Linked DNA regions of Tamandua tetradactyla. The protein of the gene in region 1 interacts with the protein of each later gene in a pairwise test. Links are inferred from orthologs where the notes say so. Each region holds a gene or a part of one and is shown on either strand. Other genes may lie near its edges. The genes, in order: ZYX, VASP, IMP3 and NEBL.

Evidence for each region.
Region 2: the proteins of ZYX (region 1) and VASP interact in binary tests that used the Homo sapiens proteins (3 or more experiments, as listed by UniProt). The link is inferred for Tamandua tetradactyla from reciprocal best matches to the Homo sapiens genes ZYX and VASP.
Region 3: the proteins of ZYX (region 1) and IMP3 interact in binary tests that used the Homo sapiens proteins (3 or more experiments, as listed by UniProt). The link is inferred for Tamandua tetradactyla from reciprocal best matches to the Homo sapiens genes ZYX and IMP3.
Region 4: the proteins of ZYX (region 1) and NEBL interact in a two-hybrid assay, tested with the Homo sapiens proteins (2 studies listed by BioGRID and IntAct). The link is inferred for Tamandua tetradactyla from reciprocal best matches to the Homo sapiens genes ZYX and NEBL.

What each region holds. Positions count from the first base shown.
Region 1 is NC_135327.1:186,997,630-187,004,930, forward strand, and holds the start of ZYX (zyxin), read left to right. Parts: upstream 1-4,251; 5' UTR 4,252-4,452; coding exon 4,453-4,666; intron 4,667-5,102; coding exon 5,103-5,302; intron 5,303-5,424; coding exon 5,425-5,517; intron 5,518-5,637; coding exon 5,638-6,156; intron 6,157-7,301. UniProt on the Homo sapiens protein: Adhesion plaque protein. Binds alpha-actinin and the CRP protein. Important for targeting TES and ENA/VASP family members to focal adhesions and for the formation of actin-rich structures.
Region 2 is NC_135342.1:15,509,950-15,517,269, reverse strand, and holds the start of VASP (vasodilator-stimulated phosphoprotein), read left to right. Parts: upstream 1-4,295; 5' UTR 4,296-4,645; coding exon 4,646-4,650; intron 4,651-6,418; exon of another isoform or gene 6,419-6,571; intron 6,572-7,320. UniProt on the Homo sapiens protein: Ena/VASP proteins are actin-associated proteins involved in a range of processes dependent on cytoskeleton remodeling and cell polarity such as axon guidance, lamellipodial and filopodial dynamics, platelet activation and cell migration.
Region 3 is NC_135338.1:66,331,555-66,338,699, forward strand, and holds IMP3 (U3 small nucleolar ribonucleoprotein IMP3), read left to right. Parts: upstream 1-4,044; 5' UTR 4,045-4,173; coding exon 4,174-4,728; 3' UTR 4,729-6,946; downstream 6,947-7,145. UniProt on the Homo sapiens protein: Component of the 60-80S U3 small nucleolar ribonucleoprotein (U3 snoRNP). Required for the early cleavages during pre-18S ribosomal RNA processing. Part of the small subunit (SSU) processome, first precursor of the small eukaryotic ribosomal subunit.
Region 4 is NC_135327.1:229,742,513-229,750,360, reverse strand, and holds the start of NEBL (nebulette), read right to left. Parts: upstream 3,027-7,848; 5' UTR 2,818-3,026; coding exon 2,737-2,817; intron 2,581-2,736; coding exon 2,509-2,580; intron 1-2,508. UniProt on the Homo sapiens protein: Binds to actin and plays an important role in the assembly of the Z-disk. May functionally link sarcomeric actin to the desmin intermediate filaments in the heart muscle sarcomeres.

The DNA.
Region 1 (7,301 bases):
CAGTGTAGGAGCAGAAAAATCAAGCATCTACTTGGCCTCAGTTTCCTCTTTTCACTTGTGAATTCATTCTGTCACTACTTTTTTTTCCTCCTTGACTGCTTCTAATTTCTTTATGTTGTGTGCCTTTGAAAAAAACTTTCTGGTACCTAGTGGATAAAATCCTTGGAGGCTGGTAGGGATATTTTAAGTAGCACAAGCCAGTGCTTTCACAGGTTCAAAACTGTACAAAAATGTCAAGTAGTCTCTAAGGTACTACATGCTTTGGTCCCCAGCCCTCCCTTATGTCTCTGACCACATCTTCTTCTTGGTTGCTATTACTGGTGCTGCTCCAGCCACAGTTGCTTTCTTACCATGCCAGATAATCCAGACACTCTTCCATTTTAGGATCTTTGCAAAGGCTTTTCTTCCTGTCTAGAATGCTTTTACCTCCAATAGCCACATGGCTAACTGCCTTACCTCTTTCAAGTCTCGGTTCAAATGCCACCTTTTCCATGAGGACTTTCCGGCCCCTGTTTTAAATCACACTTTATGTCTCTTTTTCAATCTTTACATATCCTTATGACTTAGATGTTTTCCCTATATCAGCGTATAGTTGGGCCTTATTTTTTAATTGAGCATGGGAAGTCTTATAACTGCACTAGTCTATTTGCATTTTATGTGATTACTGATATTTTTTAGTTAGGTCTAAAATCTTAACTATTTTTATCTGTTCCACCTATTTTACACTCCTTTTTCTCTTCATTCTTGACTGCTTCTGGACTAAATTCTTTATCATTCCATTTACACCCGTATTAGCCTACATGTTATACACTAAAAAAAAAAAAAGCCAGTGCTCATTTTCTTACTTCCTCTCCCTTGCCTGTCCCTAAACTGTTGGGCATGCCTTATATGATATCATCTACTTATTGCATCATTTTACACCTACTACTTGAGGAAATCAGTTATAATCATTTACTTAAGAAAAAGACTTTTAGTTTGTTAATGCTGCCAGAATGCAACCAGAAATGGGTTGGGTTTTATAAAGGGGATTTATTAAGTTAAAAGTTTACAGTTTTATGTAAAACATTACAGTTTTAATGTCATAAAAATGTCCAAATTGAGGCATTCAGAGAAACATACCTTGACTAAAAAAAAGCTGATGAGTCCCAGAACACCTCTGAGAGCTTGGAAGGCATGTGACTGGCATCTGCTAGTCCTTTCGCTTCTAGTTTCAAACGGCTTCCCAGGGGCATTTTCTTTCTGCATCTCTAAACATCTCTGTGTGGGCTCTGAAGCAACTCCAAAATGTTTCCACTTTTAACAGACACCAGTAAACTAATCAAGACCCACCTTGAATGGATGGAGTCACATCTCAATCTAATCAAAAGGCCACATCTCCATTGAAACAACCTAGTCAAGAGGTCCCACCCTACAACACTGAATCAGATAAAGAAAACATGGCTTTTTAAAAATTAATAATAATTTTAAACCAGCACAATGCCTAAGGATAGTTAGGGCTGCTCTTGTACATTGTCTGCATTTTAATAGCATTGACCCTGCAGCCCCCCTGAGCCATCCTGGGCTACTAGGGCAGTGATTCTGTCCTTCTGGAACACTCTGTGTGCTTCTACTTGTATTTAGAATGGCTGGTTTAAAACTCTTAAGCTTTAATATTCTGCATCCTGAATGCTCTTTGTTGTCAGTAAAACTAAACCTGCCTACGCGCTCTTCTATTCTTGATTTATAAATAGGTTCAGCTGCCTAACAATTAAACATGCTATATTTTCCACACGCACATTCCTTAAAGACAGAGGATAGATGGCTTTTACTTTTATAAACCTATCTGGAAACCATCTAACTTTTTTTTTTTCAAGTAGGGATAATTTGAAGGACTAGTGGTGAGATTTCTGGTCCCTGAAGCTCAAGATACAGTTTCCAACTTGCACAGGGACAGACCCAGGATTAATTAGCTTGTATGTGTCAAAGAGGTGTGCACTGCATGTTATACATGGCTACACATGCTTGTGGATGTGAGAAATACTGGTAACAAGTACAAGTCAGCTGAGAAAAAAGAGAGGTCATGCGGGCTATGAAGGCAATGAAGATGGAGTCTTAAGTAAAATAAAGGATAAGGAGAGGGCATTTCATATACCAAGGCTCATGAGAGATTTGCTTGGGAACAGAGAAAGGTATATACGGGGAACTGGGTCAGAATTTCCATCTTGGGCAGAACTGAAACTTGAAATGATAATACTGAATATTATATAGCACTTTTAGATATGTATTTCATTTATTCCTTCATATAATGCATTAAATATCATCAATCTTTTACATATGAAGAAAAAGAAGCAGAGTATTAAGAAACTATATTAGTTTGGGTACTCAAACTGACTCCCTTGTAACCATCACAGCTTACTGGCATGAAGAATGCAGAATGATCATGAAAGTGGGAGGCATTAGAGTGTAGGGGAATGAGCTCTGACATGAGATGTGTCAAGATATTCAGTACTAGTCTAGACCCTGTTTCTAACTGGGTGCCAACCTAGGTCGATTTCTCTCTGTTTTTTTAAAATGTAATTTTATTGAGATATATTCACACACTATACAATCCATCCAAAGTACACCATCAGTGGTTCACAGACACTTCATTTAGTTGTGCATTCATGACCAGGATAATTTTTAGAAAAACAAATGAAAATAATAAAGAAAATCCCCTCCTTTATTGACCACTAATATTGCACTCTACCCAATTTTAAGACTTATAATAGAGATAGGTTAACTAAGACAGTGCAGTACTGTCAGACATCAGTGGAACAGAACCAATCATCCAGAATTAGATGTATACAAAAGGGGCAATTATTATTATTATTATTATTTTTGCTATATAGTTATACAATCTTTATCAAAGATCAGGTGGACCCATTACTTAACCTCTCAGTCTCATATTTCTCATCCACATTTTTAAAAGGTGAGTCTGATTATCTCTAAAGCATAGCTCAGAAGCTCATGACGTTAGCTGATTTGGAGGGTCAGGGACTGGGCCTACTAAGTTGGTGTGAAAAAACCTTAGATGGCTGTGAAGACTGACAGGACAAAAGGAAGCGCCTTTGGGATGGTATATTGGGGGAAAGAGTGAAAGACGACGTCTCCATATGCAGGCAGTGAGTGTGGAAGGATTCAAGAAATGTTTATGTAAATTTCCGTATACAATTAAAAAAAAAATCCAGGTTTTGTCTTCTTCGGGTGGCCTGGAGCAGAGTCGGAGACTGAGGAACCGGGTCCCACGAGCCGGAGGCTCTACGGAGCGCGGTCCCGGCATCCCGGCAGACCCCACGTTCGCTGATACGCTCCTTGCGGGGTGGGTCGCGGTGGGCGCCAAAGAACTGTGGAAGACGTGTCGCCCGCGTCCACGTCGGTCCTCACTGCCCCCGTCCCCGCCCCGCCCTTCCGCTTCCATTCATCACCGGGCCAGGCACGAACTCTCCCTGTTTTATCAGATCCGCAGGCAGGGGCGCGGGTGATGCAAATTCCTAGAAGACTTAAGAGGCTGCCCAAGGTTTGAAGTTAGTATCCTCCAATAAGCCCTCGAGGTTCGTGCTCACACACATCCAGGTCACCGAAGGGCCTAGGTGGGCATAGAGAGGGAGAGATTCCCCCTCACCATCCGCGTCCACTTGAGCCAAGTTCCACCGCAGTCCTAACAATCCCGGCTGCCTGAGGGGTTTTGGGGCTGGGCGCCCGAGGCTCGGGGCGGGGGATGGGGGTGGGGGAGGAGCAGCGGAGGGTGGCGTGGACAGGTAACAGTAGGCCCAGAGAGGAACGGGGACGCGCCGGGATAGAGGTACAGTTGGAGCCAATTGGGGACCTCTGGGTCACCCCGTCCGGCCTCCGCCGGCTCAGACCGCAATGGGGACCGTGAGTCAGATCTCCGGCGCCCGCGGGTCAGGCTGGGGGTGGGGGCAGGTCAGGAAATGACATCAGAGGCCTGTGTTTGGGGAGGGGTGGTCTGCGCCCGGCCGGGGCGGCGGGGGCGGGAGGACCTTCGCCGAGCCTTCGGCCCCCGGCAGGATCAGGGCCCCTTCCTGGGGGAGTTTCCTGCCTCGTCCGCCTTCCCCGCACTCCCCGCCCCCTCTCCGGGCCGCTCCTTGTATGGTCTCGGTGCCGCTCTCTTCCCGCCCCCTCCCTCCCTCCCTCTTCCCTGCGTCCCTCCCCGCTTGGCTGGAGGCGGCTCCTGACCGGGACGCAGACACAGCGGACTCAGCGCGGAGGCGGCCGCCCGGGACCCGCGCGCACGCTCCGGCCCGCGGTGAGACGCGGGGAGCCGCCCCGCGGCTGCCTACTGGGAGAGGGTAGCTGGGCGCCGGGTTAGGCGGGTGGGAGAGTCCCCGAGAGGAGCTCGGACCACAAGGGAGTCCTCAGCGCGCTTCCGCGCTGCGTAACCTGGCGACCCACCCCCAGCAGCCCGGCCTTGCCATGGCGGCCCCCCGTCCGCCTCCTGCGATCTCTGTCTCTGTCTCGGTCTCGGCTCCGGCATTTTACGCTCCTCAGAAGAAGTTCGCCCCAGTGGTGGCTCCAAAGCCCAAAGTGAATCCTTTCCGGCCTGGGGACAGCGAGCTCGCCTCGGCGACTGGGGCTCAGCGTGCACAAATGGGCCGGGTGGGCGAGATCCCCCTTCCGCCCCCGGAAGGTAAGCCGATGGGCTTGAGAGCTGGACCCCCGCCCGCACGGAGTGGGGGCAATGTTTTCGGGAGTTCGGGGGTGTCTGGAAAGGTTGCTGCAGAGGGGGCTGGGCGCAGCTACCCTGTCCCGAGCAGATGTTCTTACCTCATCGCGGAGCTTATGGCTGGGAGCCAAGGCTCCTGGGACCGTTCCAAGTCCCCTGCCCGGGGGTGGGAGACGGGAATGTGGGGCACCGACCTTCCCTTCTGGGTCCGTTTTCCGAAGTGTAACGGGAGCTGCTCCACTCCTTTGCAGTGCCCCTGCCGTAGCTGGCCCGGTGCTCCCAGAGCCGACCCCACACTCCCGGGGACCCCTGAGAGAGTTTTTGGGTTGCAGATTGGAGCTGTAAAACAGGGCAACTGGGGAGAAGGAACTGACAGCCCTTTCTTTCACTCCTATCCCAGATTTTCCTTTACCTCCTCCTCCCCCCCTTGGGGAGGGTGACGACACGGAAGGTGCTCTGGGAGGCGCCTTCCCACCCCCCCCTCCACCGATTGAAGACCCGTTTCCCCCTGCGCCCCTGGAAGAGGAGATCTTCCCTTCCCCGCCGCCTCCTTTGGAGGAGGAGGGAGGAACTGAGGCCCCCTTACCCCTCCCACCACAGGTATGGAAAGGCCTGGGACACTCCCTGGGAAGAGGGGAGTGTCCTTTCTTCCTTATCACCTCTGTTGGAAGTGGGGTGGGAATGGAGGACTGGGATGGGCTCTCTGACTTCTGACTCTCTAGCCCAGGGAGAAGGTGAGCAGTATTGACCTGGAGATCGACTCTCTCTCCTCGTTGCTGGACGACATGACCAGAAATGATCCCTTCAAAGCCCGGGTGAGGGTCAAGAGGAGAGGCTAGGAGAAGCAGGGCCCATATGAGAAGAGGCATGGGGATAAGACTAAGGGTGGCATTCTTCTCTAACTGTACTTCTTTCTTCTCTGTCTCCCCTTGCAGGTGTCTTCTGGATATGTACCCCCACCCGTTGCCACCCCATTAATTTCCAAGTCCAGTACTAAGCCCGTAACTGGGGGCACAGCACCCTTACCTCCTTGGAAGCAAGTCCCTTCTAACTCCCAACCTCAACCTCAGGCTCAGGCCCTGCCTCAGAGCCAGACACAGTTCCATATCCAGCCCCAGGCCAAGCCTCAGGTCCAGTTCCATGTCCAGTCCCAGCCTCAGCCTGTGTCTTTGGCTAATACACAGCCCCGAAGTGCCCCGGCATCATCATCTTCAGCTCCAACCCCTAAGTTTTCTCCCGTGACTCCCAAGTTTACTCCTGTGGCCTCAAAGTTCAGCCCTGGAGCCCCAGGTGGACCTGGGTCACAGCCCAATCAGAAGCTGGGGTCCCCTGAAGCTCCTACTTCTGCTGCCACAGGCTCCCCTCAACCCCCCAGTTTCACATATGCTCAACAGAGGGAGAAGCCTCGAGTACAGGAGAAGCAGCACCCAATGCCCTCACCAGCTCAAAACCAGGTGAGGAAGGACTGCAGGACTAGACTGAGTCCAGGGGGCTGAGGTCAGGGTTAAGTCTGGATCCAGAGAATGAAGGTGACTCAAGAGAGTTGGAGGGAGGTAGCGGTGAGGGGATAGCAATTTTCATCCTCTTGGTTAGACTAGCGGGACTACCATAAAAGAAAGCACTTCTGGAAGAACAGGCTAGCATGTCTGGTTTGGGTGGGGACTGACTGGGAACAGTGAGAGCAGCACAGGCTCTAAATTAATAAGAACATTTGGTGGACTTTCCTTTGGACCTCTGCTCCAGAATGTAAGAGGGGAGGGATGAGATCACCAGGCAAACCTTGTTTCTTCCCCCATATTGAGTTAATCTCTCCAACTCTTACCACCGAAGGGCCCATCTGATGATAAGAGTAGCAGCATCAGTAAACACAGGCTGAGCCAGCATTGTTGGGTGCCAGATACTGTGCTCTGTGCTCAGGAGTATAGGACATGGGAAGAGATTTCTCAAAGAGGTTAAGAGTGCCGGAGTCAGATGGCCCTGGGATGGAATTCTAGCTTGGAAACCCACAAGCTATGAGACTCTGGACAAATTAGGTGAATTTTATACCTCAGTTTGCCCACCTTTAGAACAATGTTGTCTATCTTATACTATAGTTGTAAAGATCAAGTGAGCTAATGCATGGAAAGTGTTAGGTTCTGTGACTAATGCATACATGCCAAAATATGAAAGCTGTAGTTACATAACATTGCTCTTGTCTTCTTAAATCTTACAATCTGGTTTAGGAAACTAGAGCTTCAGAGTTGAAAAGACCCTGGTATAGTCTAACCAATTGTAGAGTTAGTGAATGTCTGTATTTACTCATATAAGGAGAAATGCTGAGTGCTGATGAGATTCCTGTTACAGGGCTGTGTGACAGGGGCTCAGAATAGGGAATCAACTGTGGAGATGGTGTATCCAGAAAAATGGCTATGACTTAGAAACCTGGAAAGGAGAGGGAAGAGCATTTGGATGGGAATAGTGAAATTCAAGAGCATGCATACTCAAGGGGTGCTTAGAGACTAGAAAACAGAAGGTTCCTTTGGAAAAATTATAGAGCTATACTTAGAGAGGTAGGTGGGAGCTAGAAGGTAGAAGAAATTGAATAGCACTCCTGGGATCT
Region 2 (7,320 bases), on another chromosome or scaffold:
ATCCGGGTGGAGCTAGCGCTGTACACCGCCCTGGGACACAGGGTCGCGGGTGAGTTAGCTCCGGGAGCCCAATGGGAGGGAAGGTCGGCAAACAGGGGTTCCCCCATTACTCTCATCTCCCTCTCAGAGCTGTGCACCCTTGCCCAGGAGACCCCCAGCCTGAACACGATTTTCAGGACTCTGGCCTCGGAGGACATCCTGGATTTACCCCCCAGGGGGAGGGCTGGACTGTAAGTGAGTGGAGGTGGGTTGGGGAGGGGTTTGGGGGAGGGGTAGTAGGTGGAGGGTCCCCTCCTGAGGGCCTCCCCCTGCTCCCCAGGGCCACTGTGATCGCTGAAGCATATGCTCAGATCTGTCACTCAGAAGAGTGCTGGGAGGTAAGGCCCCTGTGTTCTTGAATGTTTCTCTTAGTCCCTCTCTCCCCTTTAGAGATGGGGAAAGTGAGGCCACAGAGGAAAAGCAACTTGCCTGCTCTATTAGTAAATTCCTACCCCTGACCCGGAAGCACTTTGCCTCAAAGTGGCATAACAATGGGCTACAGAAGAGAAAGAACTTCCCTTCCAAAAAATACACCTCCTGGAAATGCTCTGTAAAGCCCCATCATCCCAGGCACAGCCCCCTGGAATGTCTTATCCCCTAGGAATAAGATAAATTCTGGAAATGGTAACAAGGACCCCAAGGCCTGGGGTGCCCTGCAGAGACTATCAAGATGACATCCTGAGGATGGATGACCCAGGTCTCCAATGGCTAGAGGAGAGGTGGCACGGTGGGGTGTGTGGGGCATCAGGGAGGAAATGAAAGGGGGGGAAGCTGGAAATCACATCCCAGAGGACTTTGCATGATTGGGGGAGGGCATCTGGTTTTTTGTTCTTCAGACAAAGGGGGATTGTTGATGGGTTTTCAGTAGCCAAGGATGGTATTGGTCACGATTGTTTGATTTGTGAATGATAGAAACCCAAGGCAACCAGGGTAAAGCAAACAGGAAATTTACTGGGTCACACACAAAACTGGAAAGCTCAGGAACTTAAGGTGGCTGGAGCCATTTCTCAGATGATCTCATCAGGGACCCATCTCTTAGCTCTCTGTTCTGAGGTAGTAGAGAGCTGCAGCACATCCCACCAGCTTACACTCGTGGTGGAGAGAGTGGGCCTGTTTCCCAGAAGTTCTAGCAATCCTCCCAGAGCTGGTTCTCATTGACCAAACTGGGCCACATGCATGACTGGTTACTATGCCTCTTACTGTGTCACGTGCCCAACCTAGCACTGGGGATTGGGGTCCTCTCCACCCAAACCTGATTGATTGAGAGATGGGAAAGGGTGGCCCTTCAAAGGAAAAGAGGGTGCTGCTTCCAGAAGACAGGCAAGTGGAGGCTGAGAAGGCAGGAAAGGGTTCCTATTCACTGTCTCCCACATTTTGTGTTACAGCTGGGACAGAGCAGGGCTGGGGAGCCGACCAGCACCCATCAGGCTCTGCCTTGGGTCTGGAGGCCTGACAGCTGTCATCCTTTGGAGACTCTCCACCCAGCTGGGGCCTCAACGGAACTAAGGAAGAAAACCGCTCCCTTCCCCAGCTACATGGACCAACGGAAGAGAGACAGGCTGATGGAAGAACCCCAGAATGCTTATTTCCCTCTCTCCTAGTTCCCCATCAATGAAAAGTCAGTTCAATAACCTTCCCTTTCCTTCCCATTCTTCCTGTGGTTTTGAGGGGAGGGTAGAAGGGCAGTTTTTTTTTTTCTTTATTATTAAATTTTAATTACAGAGGCAATTCAAAATGCATTTTTTTTCTTGTAGAAAACAAACATCATTTACGCAGTCACTTGGCAAATATGCATTGGCCATACATATTTGTGAGTCCTTGCTCACACCATGAAGAAGGTAGATCCACCGAGCCCTACTCCTGGGGACCTCCTGGGGGGGAGGGGGAGGTGGGACAGCAAACAGGCGTGCCAAATAAATAAGGTCATCTCAGACACTGATGAGTGTCATGGGGAAAATAAAACAAGGTGGTGTGATAAAAAGGCTAGGGGAGCTACTTTGGTTGTTTAAATTGGTATTCATCTATTTCCTCAATGGGTAATACATTCACTTAGTTTGAAATTCAGAAGGTGCAAAATGGCATAGTGTGAGAAGTCTGATGGAAAAGGAGCCAGATATGCGAACAGCCCAGGGAATGGTATTCCAAGGTTCAGGTAACAGCCAATGCAGAGGCTGGCATTTTGGAGATAAGGTTTGGGATCTCTGTGACTACCAAGGACCCCATAATCCCATCCGTATTTCCAAGGGTAAACTACAGTCATGAGTCAGGAGTGAACTTTTCCAGGTTTTTCATTCTGCCTGTAAACATATGTACATGTACTCTAGCAAATATATGATACCTTTGGTGTTTCCTTGCTTGGTTTCAGACTGTATCACTTGGCAACTTACTTTTCCCACTTGACAATATGTTGGAGACTTTTTCCATGTTATTGCACGCATTCTTTTAGCGGCTGTACAGTGCTTCAGAGAAGATGTGCAATGGTTTAGCTATCTCTCTTCCTGTTGCTGGACATTTAGGCTATTTCCAATTCCTTGCCCTAAGAGCATTGCTGCCACAAAGATCAGGCTCCTTGTGTTTATAAGCAAAGATTTCTCCAGTGCAGGAGTCTTGCTCCCCATTTTGTATGACACTTGAGCTAAGAATGCTTTTTATATTTCTACACAGTTGTTTGAAAAATAATAATAATATGCAAAAGAGATCTCATGTGAACCACAAAGCTCAAATATTTACTATATTAGACCTTTATAGAAAAAGTTGGCTGACCCCAGAAGTGCCACCCTTCCCATTTCACAGATGGAAAAGTTGAGACCCAGAGAAAAGACTTGCCAAAGTCACACAGAACTGGGGTTCTCATTCAGTTGGATAAATGTTTGTTTGCCCCAGCTCAGACCTTGCTGGGCTGGGTGAGGCCCAGAAGTCGATCAAGTCTACCCCTGCCCCCAAAGAACTCACAGCCCCAGGAAACACAGTTACACACAATTACAATCTAGGTGCTTCAGGGCTCAAGGTCCCCAGGGCAGCTGGAGGAGGGGACGAGGTTACTCGATTCCCCAGAGAAGAATCAAAGTAATAGCTTGGTCTAGAAGGGTGAGCCCCTAGGTGACGGACCCGACTGCATCCTAGCCTAGCTTGGACAAGGGCTGGGAAGGTTGATTTCCTCACCTGCTCTGTTGGGCCACGAGAATTTTGGTTTCACAATCACACCTCGGCTTTTGCAAGCGGGCCATAATCCAAATTTGTCCCTTCCTCCGGGCCTCAGTTTACCCGTTTGTTAAGGTCGAACTCCCGATTTGCCAGACGCCAGCCCTCCGGCTAAGGCACTTCACGCGGGCCAGGGGGCGCTCTTTGGAGGGTGTGGTCACATCGGTGACGTCACTCGGGGCGGGGCCTGCGGGACCCGCTGCGGAAGCCTAGGACTGTGTTTGAGCTCAGCCCGGGGCCGGCGCATTGGAGAGGGAGGTCTCAGGAACCGGCACCCGGGAGGATCTCCCGACCTCTGGGCTCTCCCGGCTGCTGGGATGATCCGTCTGTCCTCTGCGAGCGAAACTGAATCAGGGCGGGGTGTACCTGTGGAAAGGGCCAAAGGCCGGAGTCCCAGCCCGAGCCAGGGCCGGCGTCGGCCCCCACCCCACCCCCGCCCGCCTCGCCAACCACTCAACTCTACCCCCACCCCCGACCCTGCGGCTGTGAGTCAGCGACCGGCCGCGCCCCCTCGGCCCACTTCCTCCTCATCTTCCTCCCGCGGGCGAGGCGGGCGGGGGGCGGTGAGAGGGGCGGGGCCCTGCCCACCCGTCCCCTTCCTGCGCGGGGATCGGGGGGCACCCCTCAGTAACCCCTTATAGCTTGGCAGTGAAGACAAGAGATGCTGAGGGTCCTAAGGTGGCGTTTCAGGACGAAAATGTGAGGAAGTCACATTTTCCTTAACAGAGGGTTCTGCTTCCTTCTCCCCCACCCCCAAAATTGAGCCTAAGATAAAGAAATGGGGAGATCGATGGGGGGAGGGTGAGAAGGAAGAAATCGTGCCCCCATTTAGATCCCCCTAAGAAGTCCTATCCTGGGGGAGAACTACGGAACAAGGAAGGACCCTTTCCCTCCACCTAGCATCACCCCAATTTGGGGGTGACCCCCAGAGTGCATCCCTGTGCAATAACTTCGGGGCAGAGGGAAATAGCGGAAGTGGAGGGTCTACGTTGCCCTTTTAAGCGCCCTCCACCCCTCCCCTCTCCGCCTCGCGGTGGCCGCGGCCCCTTTAAGGCGCGGGGCATTGTGGGTGCGGGGAGTGGAATTTTGGAACGAAATGTAGCGAAGAGAAGTACAGTAGTAAGAGTAACGTTGTAGCCGCTGCCCGCCCGGGGGGCGCGCCGGGGAGGGCACGCCGCACCCGCTTTCTGCTTCAGGGACCCCCATCAAACCCCCAAGGGAAGGAGGCGCCCGAGGACCCGCCCCATCCCGGTCCACGTTCCCCCCAGGAAGCCGGACTCTATGGGGCGGGACCCTGGGGGAGACTGAGCAGAACGTGGAGCCAGCCCCGAACCCCTGAACCTCCAGCCAGGGGCGCCCCGGGAGTCCCCAGCCGGTGGGCGCGCCACCCGCCAGCCGAGCAGCCATGAGGTGAGCAGTGAACTGCCTCCGACCTTCCCCGCCCTGCGCGGGCTCCCCGCCCCGCCTTTGTCCCCCCTCCCCCAGCTCTCTCCGGGATGCAATTTGGGGACCCGGCACTGGGAGCCTCAGATTTGGAGCCGAACCCCTTTGGACGAGCTCCAAGTTATGGTCAGTTCCCCATGACTTCCAAGACTCGGTGTGGTGCCGGTGAGGTTCTCTCTTAGGAGCACTCAGATTTGGGGGCTCTCCGAATTTTAGATTTCCTCCCGGGATCTCCAAGTTGGCAGATTCTCCCTGCACGGATACCCAGAATTTAGGCAGGGCGTAGAGTCTCCCCCGAACCTCAACTTGAAGTCTGGGAGGGATTGTGGGGGGCTGGGTTGGGGGATCCGGGGTCTCGGAAGAGAGGCTAAGACATAGAGCCCGGTTACTGGGGTTCCTCTTTACTTGGTGCTGGAAAAAGTCTCCCCAAGTGGAAACGCGCTCCCTAACTTCAGGGTACTTCTTAATCCCTTGCATTTTGGGGGGGCGGGGCGGGAGGACATTCAGAACCTCCTGTGGAGAGGAGGTTGGTGCGGATGGACGGACCCGGATGCAGCCTCGAGGGTCTGGTTGGGACTCCCCTTTCCCGTCCCTCTCGGTCCAGAATCGTTCCGTGCCCTAGACGGAGCGAGCGCCGAGGGCGGCTCCCGGGCTTGGGGCCAGAAGGGCGGTCCCTCTCCCCCACCTGCGCGGCTCTGGGGAAGGAGGGGCGTCGCGGCAGCTGGGGGACGGGGGCCTTTGTCTTCCTGACTCACCTGTCGAGACAGCTGGTGTGGGGGGCGGGCTAGAAGCGCCCTGGGCCGGCTGCTTTCCCCACCCCGACCCCTCCCTCGTCACCCGTAACCCTCCTCCTGCCAGGCTCTCGGGAGCTATGAGGTTGGTGGGGGGGTGCAAGAAAGCTTCAAGGTCATAGCCCTCTCCCCCTGGGACCCAGGCTTGCCAGATAGTTCCAGCTGTCTTCTTAGGAATTTAATCCTGGGATGGGGGTGGCCCAAGGGATCCAGAGATTTTGTTTTACCAGCCCCCACCCCCCCAAAAAAAGTCCTGAACTCACCTGACGCCGGGAACTGGGGCGGGCTGCCCAGACTAGCCCACCATACTCTCCACCTCCCCCCCTGCCCCCGGCCCCCCATCCTAATTCCCTTGGGGCTGCAGCCTGACAATACTATCTCCCTTCCTCCAAGCTCTCAGAGACTTCCTGCCCCAAAGCCCCCAGCCTGAGGGGGAGGCCCCTGGGGACAGCTGGGGATTAACCCCCGGGTGCCCACACACTCCCATTTCCCCCACACTCCTGCCCTCTGACATCGGGGTGGCATTCCTGTTTATGACCATTAGGGCCGCCCCCTCCGGTTTGAGCCTTCTGATGGGAAAGGGATGGTTTGGAGCCAGGGGGGGCACCCATTGACACCCTCAAGGCTTCCTGCCTATCCTTCCCCACCCCCCACCCCCAGTGACATCCATGTCCCCTCTAGGTCTGCCCAGGATGGGGGGAAGGGTACGGTGTGCAGTAGCTAGGCTCTCTTCACCCTCTTCCCCCGGGACTCCCCTCTCCCACTGCCCCCAGCCCCACCCCCACCCGCGCGTTTCCGGTCCCAGGCACCGAGGAAGGCGGATGGCGGATGTCCGAGTTAGTGCTGCCTCACTCGCTGCGAGACCGTAAAAGGGCAGGAGCAGCAGCAGCAGCGCCCGGGCCGGGCCTCTGCCCCCCCCACCCCACCCCTGGCCCTCCCAAAGGGGCCCCCTCCTGCTGGGGCTGTGGCCAAACCTCTCGCCTGCTGGGGGTGGGGTGGAGTGGCAGGCCGAAGTTGAAGAGGGTCACTCCTACTTCCTGAGGGGTCTCCTCTGCAGGCCACTAAATCCACCTTCTTGGGCTGTACCTCTTCTGCAGGTACAGCTGGGATTCCAGACCCAGGTCCCTAACCCCAGCTGGGGAAACTGAGGCACAGAGAGACAGGCCTGGCTCAAGGTCACTCTGCAAATCCTAGGCAATTGGTAGGGGTGGGGCGGTGGGTGGGGTGGGGTGCTGGGGTCCATTCCTCAGATTTCTGGGTTGTTTGCCTGGGTTCACTTGTGGGGGCAGCTGGAAGGGAGGATGTTAAAATGGAAAATTACAAGATAAATTGCTTTTTCTCCCAGTTTGACAAATATTTGTCGAATGTCTGCTGTGTACCGTACTCTGAGCTGGGATTCTGGGAGGGCCAGAAAGGGGGAACAGAGTTCTGAGCATCTGGGGTGGAAGGAACTCAGGAAGAAATCGCATTCATTTTGTTCCTTTTCCAATAGTGGTAATTATTATTATTTTTATGAATTAAAAAGAAGGGCCTTTGATCACACATCTGCTTTGTGCTAGGTACTGTACTAGGTGCCTGATTCTTCTTAATCCTCACAAAAGTCCTAAGAGCTTGGCACTTTTACGACCCTCTCACCCCAGTTTATAGATGGGAAAACTGAGAAACTGAGAAGCTAAGCAAATTGCCTGTGGAAGTTAAACTGTTTGGAAGTGGCCAAGCAGAGTTTGAATCCAGGGCTGTCTGTCTCCCAACTATCATGTTATTAAAGAAAGGGGAAAATAAAACCTTTATTTATTAAGTACAAATAACCCACTTTCACTATAGGAACACTTAAGATAATACAGAT
Region 3 (7,145 bases), on another chromosome or scaffold:
GCCATCAAAACCTCCCTGTGGCTGGATCCCAGTGGTCTTTTCTCATGCATGGATTCTCTAAGATTCTCTGTATCTTACTCAGCCTCTCAGCAGCCTCTGACCTGGTTGATGACGTCTTCCGCCTGGATACACTCTCTTCCTTTGCACTGAGGACACCACACCCTCCTGATTTTCCTTCTACCTTACTGGTTCCTGGTCTTCTCTCTGATAATTCTGAATATTAGGGTGACCACAGTACAGTGATCTTCTTGTCCTCTCTAAACTAACTCCTCTGATGGTTTCATACAGGCTCATGGCTTCAAGTATCATCTATATGCTACTTATGCCCAAGTGTTTTTTATCTCCAGTTCAGACCTTTCTCTAAAACTCCAAAGTCATATATCTTTCTCCTTCATATCTCCTTTTGAATGTCTAATAGACATCTCTAATCCATCATGTCCAAAACTGACTTTCTGATCCTGTCCCCAAATCTTTTCTATTTGCAGCCCTCACTATCTCAGGAGATGGCAAATACATTCTTCCAGTTGCTCAGGCCAAAAACCTGGAGTCTTCCTTGACTCTTCTTTTCTCAATATCTCTCTGCTGCTCTCCTGGTCCAAAACACCATCTTTCTGGCCTGGATCACTGCAACAGCATCCTAACGGTCAGTCTGGTTCCACCCATCCCTGCCTACAGTCTACTCTCAATGCAGCCCTTGGAGTGATCCTTTTAAAAAATAAATCACATTATGTCAACCTTCTGCTCAAAATCCTGCAGTGACCCCATCTCACTCAACATAAAAGTACTTATAAGGGCCTATAAGCCTCTGTGTTATCTGATTGCCTTTTAACTTCTTCCTCTCCTCCTTGCCCACCCTGGTTTAGACAAAATGACTTTTCTGCTCTTCTGACATATCAGGCACATTCCTGCCTTGAGGATTTGCACTCACTGTTGCTTCTTCCTGAAATGCCCTTCCCCTAGACATCCATATAGCTACTTTAAAAATATAACCTTCTCAATAAGACCTACCCCTGCTATATCTTAATTAAATTTACAGCCCATCCCCACCCTACATCCTCATTATTTCTTACATCCTGTTCAATTTTGCTTCATATCAGATTATCATAATTACCTGTGTATTGTTTATTGTCTGTCTCCATCCCTTCACTGGAATATAAACTCCATGAGGCAGGGTTTTTTGTCTGTTTTGTTCATGATGAATCCCAAGCACTTAGAGCAAAACCTATTCCATAATAAGATGATCAATAAATGTTTGTTGAATAAATTAATGACTGATGCTTCTGGCTCCAAAAATAAATAAAAATGATTTCACTTTTGCACATGTGGAGTTTAGGTGCCTGTAGGAAATTCAGGTATAGAAAAACAGTTAAGATTTCATGGTCTGGAATCAGGCACTCATGGCACTTATCAGCTCTGTGACCCTTGGCAAATTATTAACTCCTCTATCCCTCAGTTTCCTCTCCGGTAAAATGGAGACAATATCTTGTAGAAAACTGTGAGTACTAAATGAGATAATTCATTGAACCTTACTGCAAGTTCTGGTTGTTAGGAAGTGGACAACATGGTTGAAAATATAGATCTAAAGCTCAGGAGACATCTGACCTGGATTTACAGATTGGAGAGTTGTGAACTACACATGGTGAAGCCACAGACCTGAACCTCAGTTTAAACTAAACTGGAGAAGCTGGGAAAGAAGAAAGTTAACCAAGAAGTTAACCATGCTGCAGGAATGGTGAGCATGGAAGAAAATGAGACTGGTGCAATGTGAGGGGTGGGGAGAGAGCGCACACAGGGAGAAGATGTTTGCAACATACTGAACTGATTAAGGATTAATATTCAGTATATATTTTTGAAAAACACCTTCAAATCAATTTGAAAATAGCAAGCAATCTGTAGTAGTGTCTTATTGCTGCTATATGAATCATCACATACTTAGTGGCTTAAAACAACACAAATTTATTATCTTATACTTCTGGAGATCAGAAGTCCCAAATGGGTTTCACGGGGCTAAAATGAAGGTATCAGCAGGAATATGCTCCCCCTGGAGCCTCTTATTGAAAATCCATTTCCTTGCCCTTTTCAACTTCTAGAGGCTGCCCACATTCCTTAGCCCTTGGTCCCCTTTCTTATTCAAAGCCAACAATCACATCACTCTGGCCTCTGCATCCATTGTCACATCTCCTCTGACTCTCCTGCCTCTCCCTTTTTTCATTTATAAGGACCCTATAATTATATAGGGCCCACCACCCAGATAATCCAAGATAATCTCCCAATCTTAAAATCCTTAATCACACCTGCAAAATTCCTTTTGTCATGTAAGGTAATATTTTCACAGGTTATAGGGATTAGGATGGGTCATTTTCGGGGCTGGGGGGGGGGATTACACACACTCCAATGGGAAAATAGACAGAAGATATGAACAGGCCTTTCACAAAGGAGGAAACACATGAAATCTTTAGTTATCAGAGAAATGCAAATTAAAATTATAATAAAATGCCATCACATACTCCCCAGATTGGCAAAAATTTTAAAAAATGACATCCAAGCATTGGCAAGAACGAGGAGCAAAGAGAACTCTCACACATTGTCAGAGGACTATAAATTGATACAACCCCCTTGGAAGACAATTCAGCAATATGTAGTAAGGTTGAGCATACACATACTTTAAAGCTAACCAATTCTAAGATGTATACTCAAAACTCTTGCAAACGTGCAACAGGAGACAAGTACAAAACTGTTAACAGCACCACTGCTAAAAATATTCTCTCCAAAAAGTCCAACAGGAAATGGATTAACTGAACTAGAGGGTCAAACAATGGAATATTATGAAGCAGGAAAAAAACAAAGCAACTAGAGCTGCATGTAACTGCATACAGTATATTTGCTATGCAGCACTCTTCCAACTACTGGGTGCATTCTGGGGGTCTTGTTAAAATGCAGATTGATTCTGTAGGTCAAGAATGAGACCTGACTGTCTACATTTCCAGCGAGCTCTCCGCTGGTCCACGGGCTATACTTTGAGTAAGAAGTTCTACAGTATATTTCAGGGATGCGTGTATAGTGATAAAACTATTTTTTAAAAAACAAAAGGTAATAAACACAAGATTCAGGGGAGTAAGTACTTTTATCTCTGGGGTTTAGCAGGGGCTGGACTAAGTAGATGAAACAATCCTGGTGATGTTATTTTTCTTAAACTGGCTGTTGAGTTCATGAGTATTCATTCCTTATATTTTATAACCTACATACGTTCCATCTGCATATGAAATTATTTTTTTTTAATAATAAAAAGCATACAAAATAAAACAAAGTGAACGGCGGAGAAGCTAGGAGGCATCAAACGCGCAGGCAAACAAAGGAACGAGCCTGGCAACGCAACACTCAGATGCAACTACAAATTTAACTAATAGAAATAGCTTTAAATTTGTTAACTCAATACTCAGTGGCCGGAAATCCGCCGTCAGGCTAAATAGGTTGAGCTCAGACTAAAGGATTAGGATTTGAACTCACATCCCAAGTTTTTCAAACTTAACTGGGTTGTAAGAACCACATGGGACTCTCGTTAAACATACAGGAATAAGTCATAGGTCCGGTGCCGCCCAGACCTACTCGGGAGGGAGAAACAACCCCGCCCCCCAGTGAAGAAGGGCCTGACTCAGGCGGGCGGCGGGGGATATCGGCCTGTCCCTGGGCAGGCCGGCTCCAGGAAGCCCCCCACAGGGTGGGAGAAAACAATGGTCAGTAAGCACAGTGAACTCAATCACACATGCCCGGCGGTCACCCCTCTTCCCCGGAATTGGCCTCTTCAGCTCTATCGGGGAAGATTTCTCCCGAGGGTCCCGGAAGAGCTGAAATCAGAATGGGTGGAAATCAGCCCAATACTACAGGCTGCACTCTTGGATACTTAGAAGCCCGGGGACCGCCCCTAGTGCTACTTCCCACTCTGTCAACGAGAAGAACAAAAAAACCCGCGAGATATAGATGCGGAGGCGTGAACACATTCCAACCAATGGCGATAGAGGGCGTGGCTTTGAGTCCTTCTTTCATTGGCCGGGGATTCCGAGGGCGGCCTGGGTTTCCGAGCGCGCTTCAGGGCGTCACCACCTCAGGCGGAAATCGCGTGCGTGTGGGAAAGTCGGCCCAGTGGGTGGTTTCGCTGCTTTGGTTGCTGCCATCATGGTGCGGAAGCTAAAGTTCCACGAGCAGAAGCTGCTGAAGCAGGTGGACTTCCTCAACTGGGAGGTTACCGACCACAACCTGCACGAGCTGCGCGTGCTGCGGCGTTATCGACTGCAGCGGCGCGAGGAGTACACGCGCTACAACCAGCTGAGCCGTGCCGTGCGCGAGCTAGCGCGGCGCCTGCGCGACTTGTCCGAGCGCGACCCTTTCCGCGTGCGCGCCTCAGCAGCGCTCCTGGACAAGCTTTATGCACTGGGCCTGATACCCACGCGCGGCTCGCTGGAGCTCTGTGACTTTGTCACGGCTTCGTCATTCTGCCGCCGCCGCCTCCCCACCGTGCTCCTCAAGCTGCGCATGGCGCAACACCTCCAGGCCGCCGTGGCTTTCGTGGAACAGGGACACGTGCGCGTGGGCCCCGACGTGGTCACCGACCCGGCCTTCCTTGTCACGCGCAGCATGGAGGATTTCGTCACTTGGGTTGACTCGTCCAAGATCAAGCGGCACGTATTGGAGTACAACGAGGAGCGCGATGATTTCGATCTGGAAGCGTAGGGGGACTCTTCTCTCCATGGCCGCGTTTTAGTAGATGGGAACGCTGAGGACTGCTGGTACTGGAGATCCTGTAAGGGCACTCTCGGCTAAAGCGTCTGATCCGTTGTTTGTCCGTTCTTCTCACTGTTAAAGAACTTGACTCCACGGTCGCAGGCCACGCACAGTGGTGCACTCCTGTTTACCAGGATATTTTCCTAAGAACGTGAACTACTGAGGATTAAATGACTGTGCCTTAGGACACAATCGGAAGCAATTTTGTGTGCTGCACTGAGAAATTATTAGCTTCTTGTGCCCGAGAAATTACACATTGTAGTGTGAAGGCAAGAACTTTTCCCCATCTTTCCTTTTATCATCTTAAAGCAGGACTGTTTGGTTCACTTTATTTAACTCGAAGTTTTGCCCCTGTTGCTGATTAAGCTGTGTACAGATGATGGAGAGTTGATCTCAAGTTTCTAAAAAATGGGTTAACTTTAATGTTCAGGTCCCCCTTTTTTACGGGAATGCTTGCCTAATCCAATAAATGGTCGGACAAGTTTGTAAGTATAGCTTTTTGTCTCTCTGCTTTTCTTCTATAAGGTCATATCCATGGGTATCCCAGGCTCAGGAGCCCAAAGAAGAGGAATGGGATTAGTAGTAACTTGGCTGTGAGTGAGGCCTGCGACAGCTGCAGCATGGCAGAGGTTGCAGAGGTTGGGCAGCGGTGGGCAAATTTGTTAGTTTACCAGTCCCTTCCAAATCCCTAACGCCTTTTGAGTGTTTTGGCAGAGCTGTTTCCTTACAGGACTAGATGCTGATATTCCAGCCCCAGGAAATGCCATATTAGAGAACTGAAGTGCTTTGCTTGCCTAAGGAAATAATCATCCTGTAGCTTGGCCATCTAGTGGTTAGAAGTGACCCAGGAGATTCTTGGAAATTTACATGTTCTTAGGAATGGTGGAGAATTGAGAGGGAGAATTAGGGAGATAACCTTTTACTCAAATCTTCTAAAAGAATAAATAGAATGCTGAGACCAATGGGTTGACTTTTAAGTGTGCCTTCTCCACTTGCCAGGTAGGAGGCAGCATTTGATGAAGAAATGATGGAGAGTGACACTTGATGATAATAGCGGATGCTTCTATATATCAGGCATGGGTTTAAATGTATTATGTGTTTTAATTCATTTCATCTTCCCATCAATTCTATGAAGTGGGGAATCCAATTACATTACTGGGGTTATATGCTTTCTTTAGGAGACTGTCAGGGTTGAGAGTTCCTGAATCTGAGGGCCAACAGAGGAGATGCCTGTTCTGAAAAGAAAAACTGGGCCACATGGTTGGTCCCACCAGGATGCTGTATAAAGATTTGAGCTGGGAGCAGGCAATACTCAGGTTAGGAGAGGGAGCCAAGTCTGAGGCCCTGACTGTGCCTGGCTGTCATTTACTCTTCCTAACAACTCTGCAAAGTAAGTGATGTTATCCCCACATTTCAGATTGGGAAATAGATATGGGACCAAAAACTTGTCCAAGGCTGGGATTCAAGTCCAAATCCTGTGTTTTTTAGGAATGCAAGTAGACGGAATCCCACTCCTCAGCCCTGGTGAGTAGGCACAGACTCTGCCTATTAGGTGGAGTGTTCTTAGGACTCCCTAGGAGTGGAGATCTCATGGGGAGGGAGGGTAAGATGGCTCTAGATGTTAGGCCCCCTGCTAGCCCCGCTCTCATTAGACTCCACAGGGCAGGTCGTTCCGCCCCGTTGGAGTAGTAAGAGGCCACACCTTTGGCTCAAGCAGATACAACTTCAAAGTTCTCTTGAAGGAAACTGGGTATAGGACCTTAAAAATAAAATGCAAGTTTCTTTAGAAGCATCTTTTTTCCTTCTCCTTTTTGGGAAGGGTGTGAAAGAAATGACTTACCAGAACCAGCAACCAGAAACTTTGGATTTAAGAATATCTTATTCAAGGCAGGACAGACATGACTTAGAGGACAGGCTCTGAAGCCAGACTACCTGGGCTGAATCCTGACTTAATTTGCTGTTTAACTAGCTGTGTAACATAAGTTGTTATACTTAACCTCTCTGTACTTCTTTTTCTCACCAGAAAAATGGGGGTAGTAATAGTACAGAACTTAAAAATTATAGGGAGGATTAAATTAGTTAATTCCTACAATGATTTAGAAGAGTTTCTGGCATGTAGTAGCTCTCTCGCCCCGTCCCACCCCACCCCAGGTCACAAAGGAAATACACAGGGAATTACACCAAAGAAGCCTAAAAAACCAAATATATATATATATATATATATATATATATATATATATATATATATAATATGTACTTACATATTATATATTTATTTATATATATAAAAAAACAATTGGGGAGAGTATAAATTGGAACAACCTCTCAGGAAAACAATTTTACAACATCAAGAACCTTAAAAACAT
Region 4 (7,848 bases), about 43 Mb from region 1:
TCCTAGAGTGGGGAGGACGTGGCGGACACAGGGCTGTGGCCCATCTCCAGTGATCAAGCTCATCTCCAAGCCCAAGTCTGGGGCGCACCAGCCGAGCGTCTGGACAAGCAGGACTGTGAGGCTGCTTCCGGAAGCTTCCAGATGCCACACTCTAGAAAGGAGGGAAACCACAACCCAATTCATGCAAAAAAACAGACAAAAACCAAAAGTGACTTCCAACCCCAGAAAGGCTCAGGCAAACAGACGGACGGTATTTGGGGACACGGTGGATTACCAAACAAGCCCTCACTTGAAGGTGTGCTGAGCTTTCAGTTTGGGCCAGGGAAGGAGAGGCGCACAGTTTCAACGCGGGGCCCTGGGAGGGGCGTCACGCAGGCCTGGCTGAGCGCAGTGGGTCTCCCTCGGGTTTCACTCCACGATGAACATAGCACCAAGTACACACTTCTGACAACCATTCAGCCGAGAGGACAACATTCTGGACAACATAAGAACTCAATGTCTAAGTCCCCCTGCTCCATATAAACAATGATGATACTGAGACCAAATAAGGAACTTACTATTTAGTAACACTGTTTAACCAGTCTTTTAAAAAACCAACATTTTATTTAGTTCAAGTCCTTCCAGAAAGGATAAATGAAAATGCATCTTTAAATGATTGTACTTACACCCGATATACTCACTCCTTTTTTCATTTTTTTAACAAAGAAGAATTTTTAGACTGTGCACAGATAAATATAAAATTCTAAAAATTAAAGCAGTGCCTTCTTCACAAGGACAGAATTCTATTTTGAGACAGAAAGTACAAATGAAAACTGATATAAATTGATTCACAACAGTCATGCGCTAAATGTTTGATATTTGTGTATCCAAATATTTAAATATAAAATATTTAAACATACATTCTGCCACACCGAGCTGTAAGTAGAAAGCACTGCCGTGTGTGTGATTTCATCCACATGAGAGGGACTTCAGCTTTTACAAAATGGTAAGGTCAGAGCCTTTCACTGCAGGGCTGATTTTAAAGTCACTGATAAACTATGTTACCCAAAATAACTCCCACAAAATCACCTCCTAACTGAAGCTGTCACTTTAGTTTTAGGCATGACAACCCTACTGTACCTGTCTGTGGAGAGTTTGGGCATTTAAGGTTTTCAAGGTGACACTAGTGTCCTTAATACTAGCACAATACAGCAAGCAGCCTCAGCTGCGGGGGCTGGGGGTCGGGGTCTGCTCCCCACTGCTGAACTGCGTGACCCCTCAGAGCCTCCCTCCCTCACCTCCGAAAGGGGATTTAACACACCCTTCTCCCCAGGCCCCAGCACCCTGGAAGTCTCAGTTATTGCATCATCATGGCGGTCTCCTCATTCTTGTTACAGTATACGGCGAATGCTCACGATCGACACATTGGGACTAACTGACAGCACAAAGAAACAGTTTAAAATGTCACTACAACCGCGCGAAGGATAGAAGGATATGGGAACGGTGCTGAGACCCCTCCCCCCACTGTTTCTGACAACCTAGGGGCACCGCAGGGCCACAGCCACACTCAGGAAGCCCCCCCAGGGCGCGTGCACTGCGCGCTTGGGGTCCCCAGCCTGGAAGGCACGGCCGCGTGGTTCTTACTCTCACGGGGTTCCAGGTGAGGCCCTGAGCCCGGGAGGCCACGGGACCCCACCCCATCCCCACCCAAGATTACAACCAGGTCCACCCAGGCAGGCCGGTGCAGCCATCCCCCCACCCCGCCCGTTACCCATGGGCTGCCAGGTAACGGGAGTAAATGAGGCTGGGGGTGCCTTACACCCACCGTTTTAAAGAGGGTGACCTAAACCCTCGCCCTCGGCAAGCACACCTGTCTGTGAGCTTCTGCAATTCTCATCTATGTATTTACTGTAACTATATCTGCGTTAAATAATGCTATAATTCTGTGGTTCCCTTGAAACATAATATAAACTGATCCCAGTTACTTTAAAAATCGTTACAAAAAATGCTGCTTTTTTACTAAAGTCACTGTCATCTGTTCCAGGGCTCTCAGCCTGCAGTGTGGGAACCCCTGGATCCTAAGTTGTAAATAAACGTTGCGCATATAGGCATACGCGTTTTTCTGGTTAGGGGAACCACTGCATTCATCATTAGATTCTTCAAAGGCCCCCAAAACGTTTTTAAAAATCACTAATTTAGATAGAGATCCTCCCAAAACATATTACATCATTATACACATATTTTTTTTTAATCTTTGGGTTCGCACAGGGAATATGCTCTGAAATTCAATGCTTTATGATTTCATGCCAGAGGGACAGTGAAATCCACAACAGACAGGATTCTGGCCAGGGAATGAGGAGACCTGCTCCCGCAGGGGGTCTTGGGGAAGTCATTTGAAATTTCTGGACTTAGTTCCATAGCTGGTAAATAACAGAGAATTTCAAGAGTTTCTCCCAGCCCCAGGATTCCATGCATCCTAGTGCCTCACACACAACGCAAAATACGACAGAAATCACTGGAGCCACTCACATCACTGTTCAGTTTGGTGCATTTTCTGGCCAATTCCATGCGTAGGTCTTCAATTACAGGCTTCCAGAACACCTGTCAATAGAGAGAGAGAGAGAGAGAGAGAGAGAGAGAGAGAGAGAGAGAGAGAGAGAGAGAGAGAGAGAGAGAGAGGCAAGTAAAGGAAACCTGTTCATCTTTGGCTTTGAGAGAGCCACGCAAAGACCTCTCAGCAGGCATCCCCTCACTCACCATGTCATCTTCGTTCTCCTCCCCCCCTGCGTTTTCTTCTTCAGTTCCATCTTTTAAATCCTCACATACCGGGACCTTCATAGTGACCCTTTTAAAACCTACGTATTTGTTAAATTCACTCGTGCTTGCCTTTTCGTGGCCGGTGGGCTTTGCAGCCTTGTGCTCTGGTGTCCTGGTACAAATGACCTTGCCCAGGCCTCACCCCGCTTTAGCTCACACTTCACCTCCTTATCTCAACTCCGCGCCAGTGGCCGGGACGAGAGGCCTCCACCCGCCAGGCCAGCCCCATGAGCAGACAAAATGGAGTGCTGTGACGTATAAAGCCAGCATTCTTTAAATTGGCTAAGAAACCCAAAGGGGAAAATGGATGCACGTCTCACTAATGCACGAAACATTCATAAAATAGTGTGAAAAGGACACAAAGCTTATGGGAACACTGCCGAGCTGGGACACTGGAGCTCTCGCAGTGGAACACAGGGTTATCTCAAAGACCCTCAAAACGCCACCTAAATAAAGCTTTTGCTGGAATGTCAGACAAAGCTCTGTTCTGGTGCGCTGGATCCGAACTTCTGAAACTCATTTCACTGCCCGGCATTAAAACGTGAATGAGACACGCATGTACTTCCCACATTCTGAAAACACCCACGTCATATCAGCTGATAATATTATTTTCATAATTTACTGTAAGCCCTCCGAACCAGTTCTAAAAATAAAAAATCTATCCTGAGTTAACTGTGACAGTTAATCTTATATTAGTTTGTTTTACATCATTTTAATTGCAAACCTCATTACACATAAGAAACTGCAGGTAACATATGTTTTTTATATCATTTAAGGATTCTAGAAATGTCACCATCTCAAACCTGCTCATGTGTCAATTTTTCTTAATTCTCTAGTTATTTATGTATTCCAATGTGTACCACACTTGGAAATATAAACATCAACTATAACAATATCTATAATGTATCATCAACCATATAATAAAAAAATTTCTCAGAACAAACTCCAAGTCTCCACACAGCTCATAACTTGTACATTCAGTTATTTAATCCTAGGGTAAATTAAGGTTTGCAAAACTACAGCATATCCTGCTGAACATTAAAAAATGCCCTATAGTGAATAATGAAACCAATTATATAAAATACAACATTATTCAAAATAATACATCAGCAAAATAGCCAAGCACAGTGGTGCTTTCTCTTGCTATTAAATCCAGATATCAAGTTACTAAAAAATATTTTCCTTGATCTTGCCTAAACTGAAAATTCTGGCAAAAAAAAATCTACACAATCATTATTTACAGATTATTTCTCAGATTGTATTCCATGGGCAAAAGTTCCAGAAAATACTCTGTGAAAAAACAGGGGTTCTATCAACAATCTTTGGAGACCTATACACTAAATCTTTACTGAGACCACTTTGAGCTCCACACCACATTAGAAGCTCTGAGAAGACTCAAGACCAAGAAACCGATGTGGTTTTACTTACCTCCACATTTCCCAAACGTGAAATCCTTTGATTTTTTTTTTTTTTAACATTCTCTCTATGCTAACGACATGGAATGCTCTGGAACTGCTTTTGGTCTTTTCATGATACTGGTTTTGATACTGGCTCATCTAATAGCATCACAGATCCTACTGACCAGCAAAACATCAAAAGAGAAACTGCCAGAAAGTCTTGAAGTTGGAGAACTTCACTTGGAAAGAACAGGTGTGTCACATCTGCCCAGCACAGCGACTGCAACCAGGAGCTTCTCTGTCCCACAAAGCAGCAGGTGGGGTGAATTCTGACTGTCCCCTCAAGAACTCTGCCAGATGATTATTCTAATATCCTATTGAACACCCGTGCTATTACTGCTTCTGGACAATAGGAAATAGACATTGTACAAGCTTTTCTTGCAACCTCTAGAGGGATAAGGAGAAAATCTCGCCAACGCTGCCTAGGACACAGCCTTGGCTCGTGTTGGAGAGGAGATGCTTGTGCGGCTCAGGGAAAGATCTCAGCCCCATAACGCATTACCTTCCTCAGGTTCATCCACGGTTCTTTTCGGATTCCCCATCATGTTCTTATGGTCTCTCCATCTCTGCTGGAAGAACATAACCTGTTGAGATTTAATGCAGAAAAGTCTTGAAAGCAAAATCAAATGCCAACATGTAATGTGAAAGCAATTTTAAATAAGTCTATTTGAGATTTTAGAATCACAATTCAACACCAGAGGGATCCCTAAGAAATCATTCCACCTTGAGTTCTCTCTTTGCAGAGCAGAAAATTAAGGTCCACAGAAATGGTCTGTAAGTCTCACTTGCAAAAGTTGTTCAACTGAGTGCTGGGAGCAGAACCTAACTTGCTCATTCTTTCAACAATGTTGTGTTGTCAGGCCCTGAGCTCAGTACTGGGAGGCAAGGGGGAGACACTCAAACTTTCCACCCAGAGAAGGTAGGAAATAAAAGAGCCGTCATTGAAGATGGCTGGATAAACTCCTTCTGGGCTGTTTGGCAAGCTGGAGACGCCGTTACTTTTGACTAAATGCACCTTCCTTCCTTCCACCTACAAGTAACATACAAAATCCACATAAAGTTTCCTCCAAAAAAATAGGTCAAGTGTTTTTTCACAGCAAATCGCTCTTATTAATAGCTCCAAAATATGACTTGGGGAATAAGAAGAAATTAGCTTTGAAGGAGCGCCATCATGTTTCAAAATTCCCTATCACCTTTTTGTTTTTTCAAAACCAAGATCAATGTTGCAATTTTGTAACCAAGAAGTTAGGATTTAAGGGATGATTATGATTATCAAATCATTTTATAGATATTCCTTTTTACTTTCTGGTATATTAGAGTAGACAAAGGAAAATACCTGAAATCTCTGAACTTCAACCCAGCTGCCTTGACCTCTGATAATGAAAGTTTAGCCTTTATCTTGTGCCCTTGTGATTATAAAAACCTTATGAATGACTCTCACTTGTACCCATTTTATCCAGTTTTTTTTACTTTGGAGTCTTGTGATCACTAAAGACAGCCCCAGAAGTTTATTAATAAAGGGCCTTGGGTCTGCCCAGAACTAACCCACCCAATACCAAAGTTACCTTGAGAACAAAGACCGGATCTAACCAAAGTGGGCCTGGCATGCGCAGGAGTTCAGACTTTAACCTACAAGTCACCTGACCTCATTATAATAAAATCATGCCCACCACACATGAAGGCCTTTTTCCCACAGACTTTCTGTGATGAAGCGTGTGATCAATCTGCACATCCTCAGTAGTTAGATCACCTCTAATTACACTACATGATGTCTGATCCTAAACCCTGCCCATCTTTCAATTCTACAAAACTATCCGAGTTACTGGGTTGGAGGAGAGAGGTCTTCGGGCTCACTGACCATCTGAGCTCCTGCTTCGTGCCCAGCAGTAAACTCTCTTTGAAACGCCGGCGTCTCAGGAATGGGTCATTTGAGTGCGTCCGGTGGGGGGCGGGGGGGAGAATGTACCACCTCTGCCAGGTATTAATCTGATACATATTTTCACCTTGGAGCACCCCAAAAAAGATCACCCATGTAGCACCTACTACCTTTTTCTTAATGAGGATTTCAAGCATTCTGTCTACTTTTTACCTTCGTGCTCCACCCCAGCTCTGACCTGGAATGACAGGGAGATGGGGCTCCATTCCTGTGGCCTCGGGATAAATGATTTAATCCCCTCGGTCCCCAGTTCTGCACAGTTAAACAGAAAACAGAACTGCTGTCAGTCAATAAAAGAAAACCCCTTTGAGAAGAGTAAAGACCCTTACAAAGACAAGAGTTTTCAACTACCCCATAAGGACACAGAGTTCCAGAGAAGCCCTTGAGGGGAAAGGGGAAGGGTCTTCTCATTTAAAAGGGAGACAGGGACCATCAACGTCTCTTCAAAGGCACGGGAGGCTTCCTACAACCAGACAGCACAGAAATAACAGGCAGCTGAAGACTTAGAACACAGGGCTCTTGTATTTTTTTATAGCAAGGCGTTGTTTTGTAAGGAAATACATTTCCATAGCAACTGCAGAACCGTGGGTAGTTCAGGTTTCTGGAGACCCCACACCTGGCCCAGGAAACTCATCCATCCCACAACCAGGGGCAAACGAGCACCTGACTGTCTTCCTTCAGCTTTTTTCTTAAGGTCACAGGCTACAAGATTCTCCCAGCTCCTGATAAAGACCGCGGACTTCACTCACTTCCGTGTGTTCCCTGTTCCCCTCACAGTGTGGGACACGTGCTTTTCCCAGCACAGTGAGGTCCGCCTTGGAAAGGAGAGCCCTAACGGAGGCGGCAGCAGCTCGGGATTCAGCATGGGGCTGAGGAAAACTTACAGGAATAAAACTGGTTTTTTTTCTTTTCCATTTAAAAATTAATTCAACATTTCTTAGTACAAAATATTCACCCTAGATAGTCAGCTGGGAGAGAAATTAGTCATCTGACCTCTTTTCCTGCTTTGATGGTCTTTCACACACTCAGTTTTAGCAGCCTTTTTTAAAAATGTAAGATTATGCTCCAGAAGGCTGGTGCTTCTCAGGCTATTTATCCTCCCACTTTGGCATCTGCCCCAAAGAGAGCTTTTACTAACGGATGGGAGAGGGAGACTGTCCTTAAGAAAAGAAACAGCAAGCATTCTAGGGCAATTTATTTCCTTTTTAAAAGAGAAGATTTCTGCCTGATATTAGATCAATCTATTTTTGCAATCTACATTCATTAAGCATACCTTCTCTTTTTAATAGCTATGTCATTACTGTTTGTTAATTAGAAATCAAAAGAATACAAAGTAACCCAATTAATCACCAATTATGCTGTTAAAATAAGATTTAATAGAGTGCTTTTCAGTATTTATATTCCTATTTTTCCCAACCAGAAACCCAATTCAAAAATGAGAACTTCCTATTTAAACTGCCATTGGAGGAGGAGGAGGAGAAGAAAAGAAACAGCAGCTAATTTTTAGCACAGCAGTTTCCAGGCTGGGAGTGTCTGGGGTGCGAAAATGAAGAGTCTGCACTCCTCCAAACACACCGAGAGAAAAAACGTTCGTACTCGGCGCACACATTAACACAGACGCCCAGTGGACTGGAAGACTTTTGGTTTAAGATGCAACTT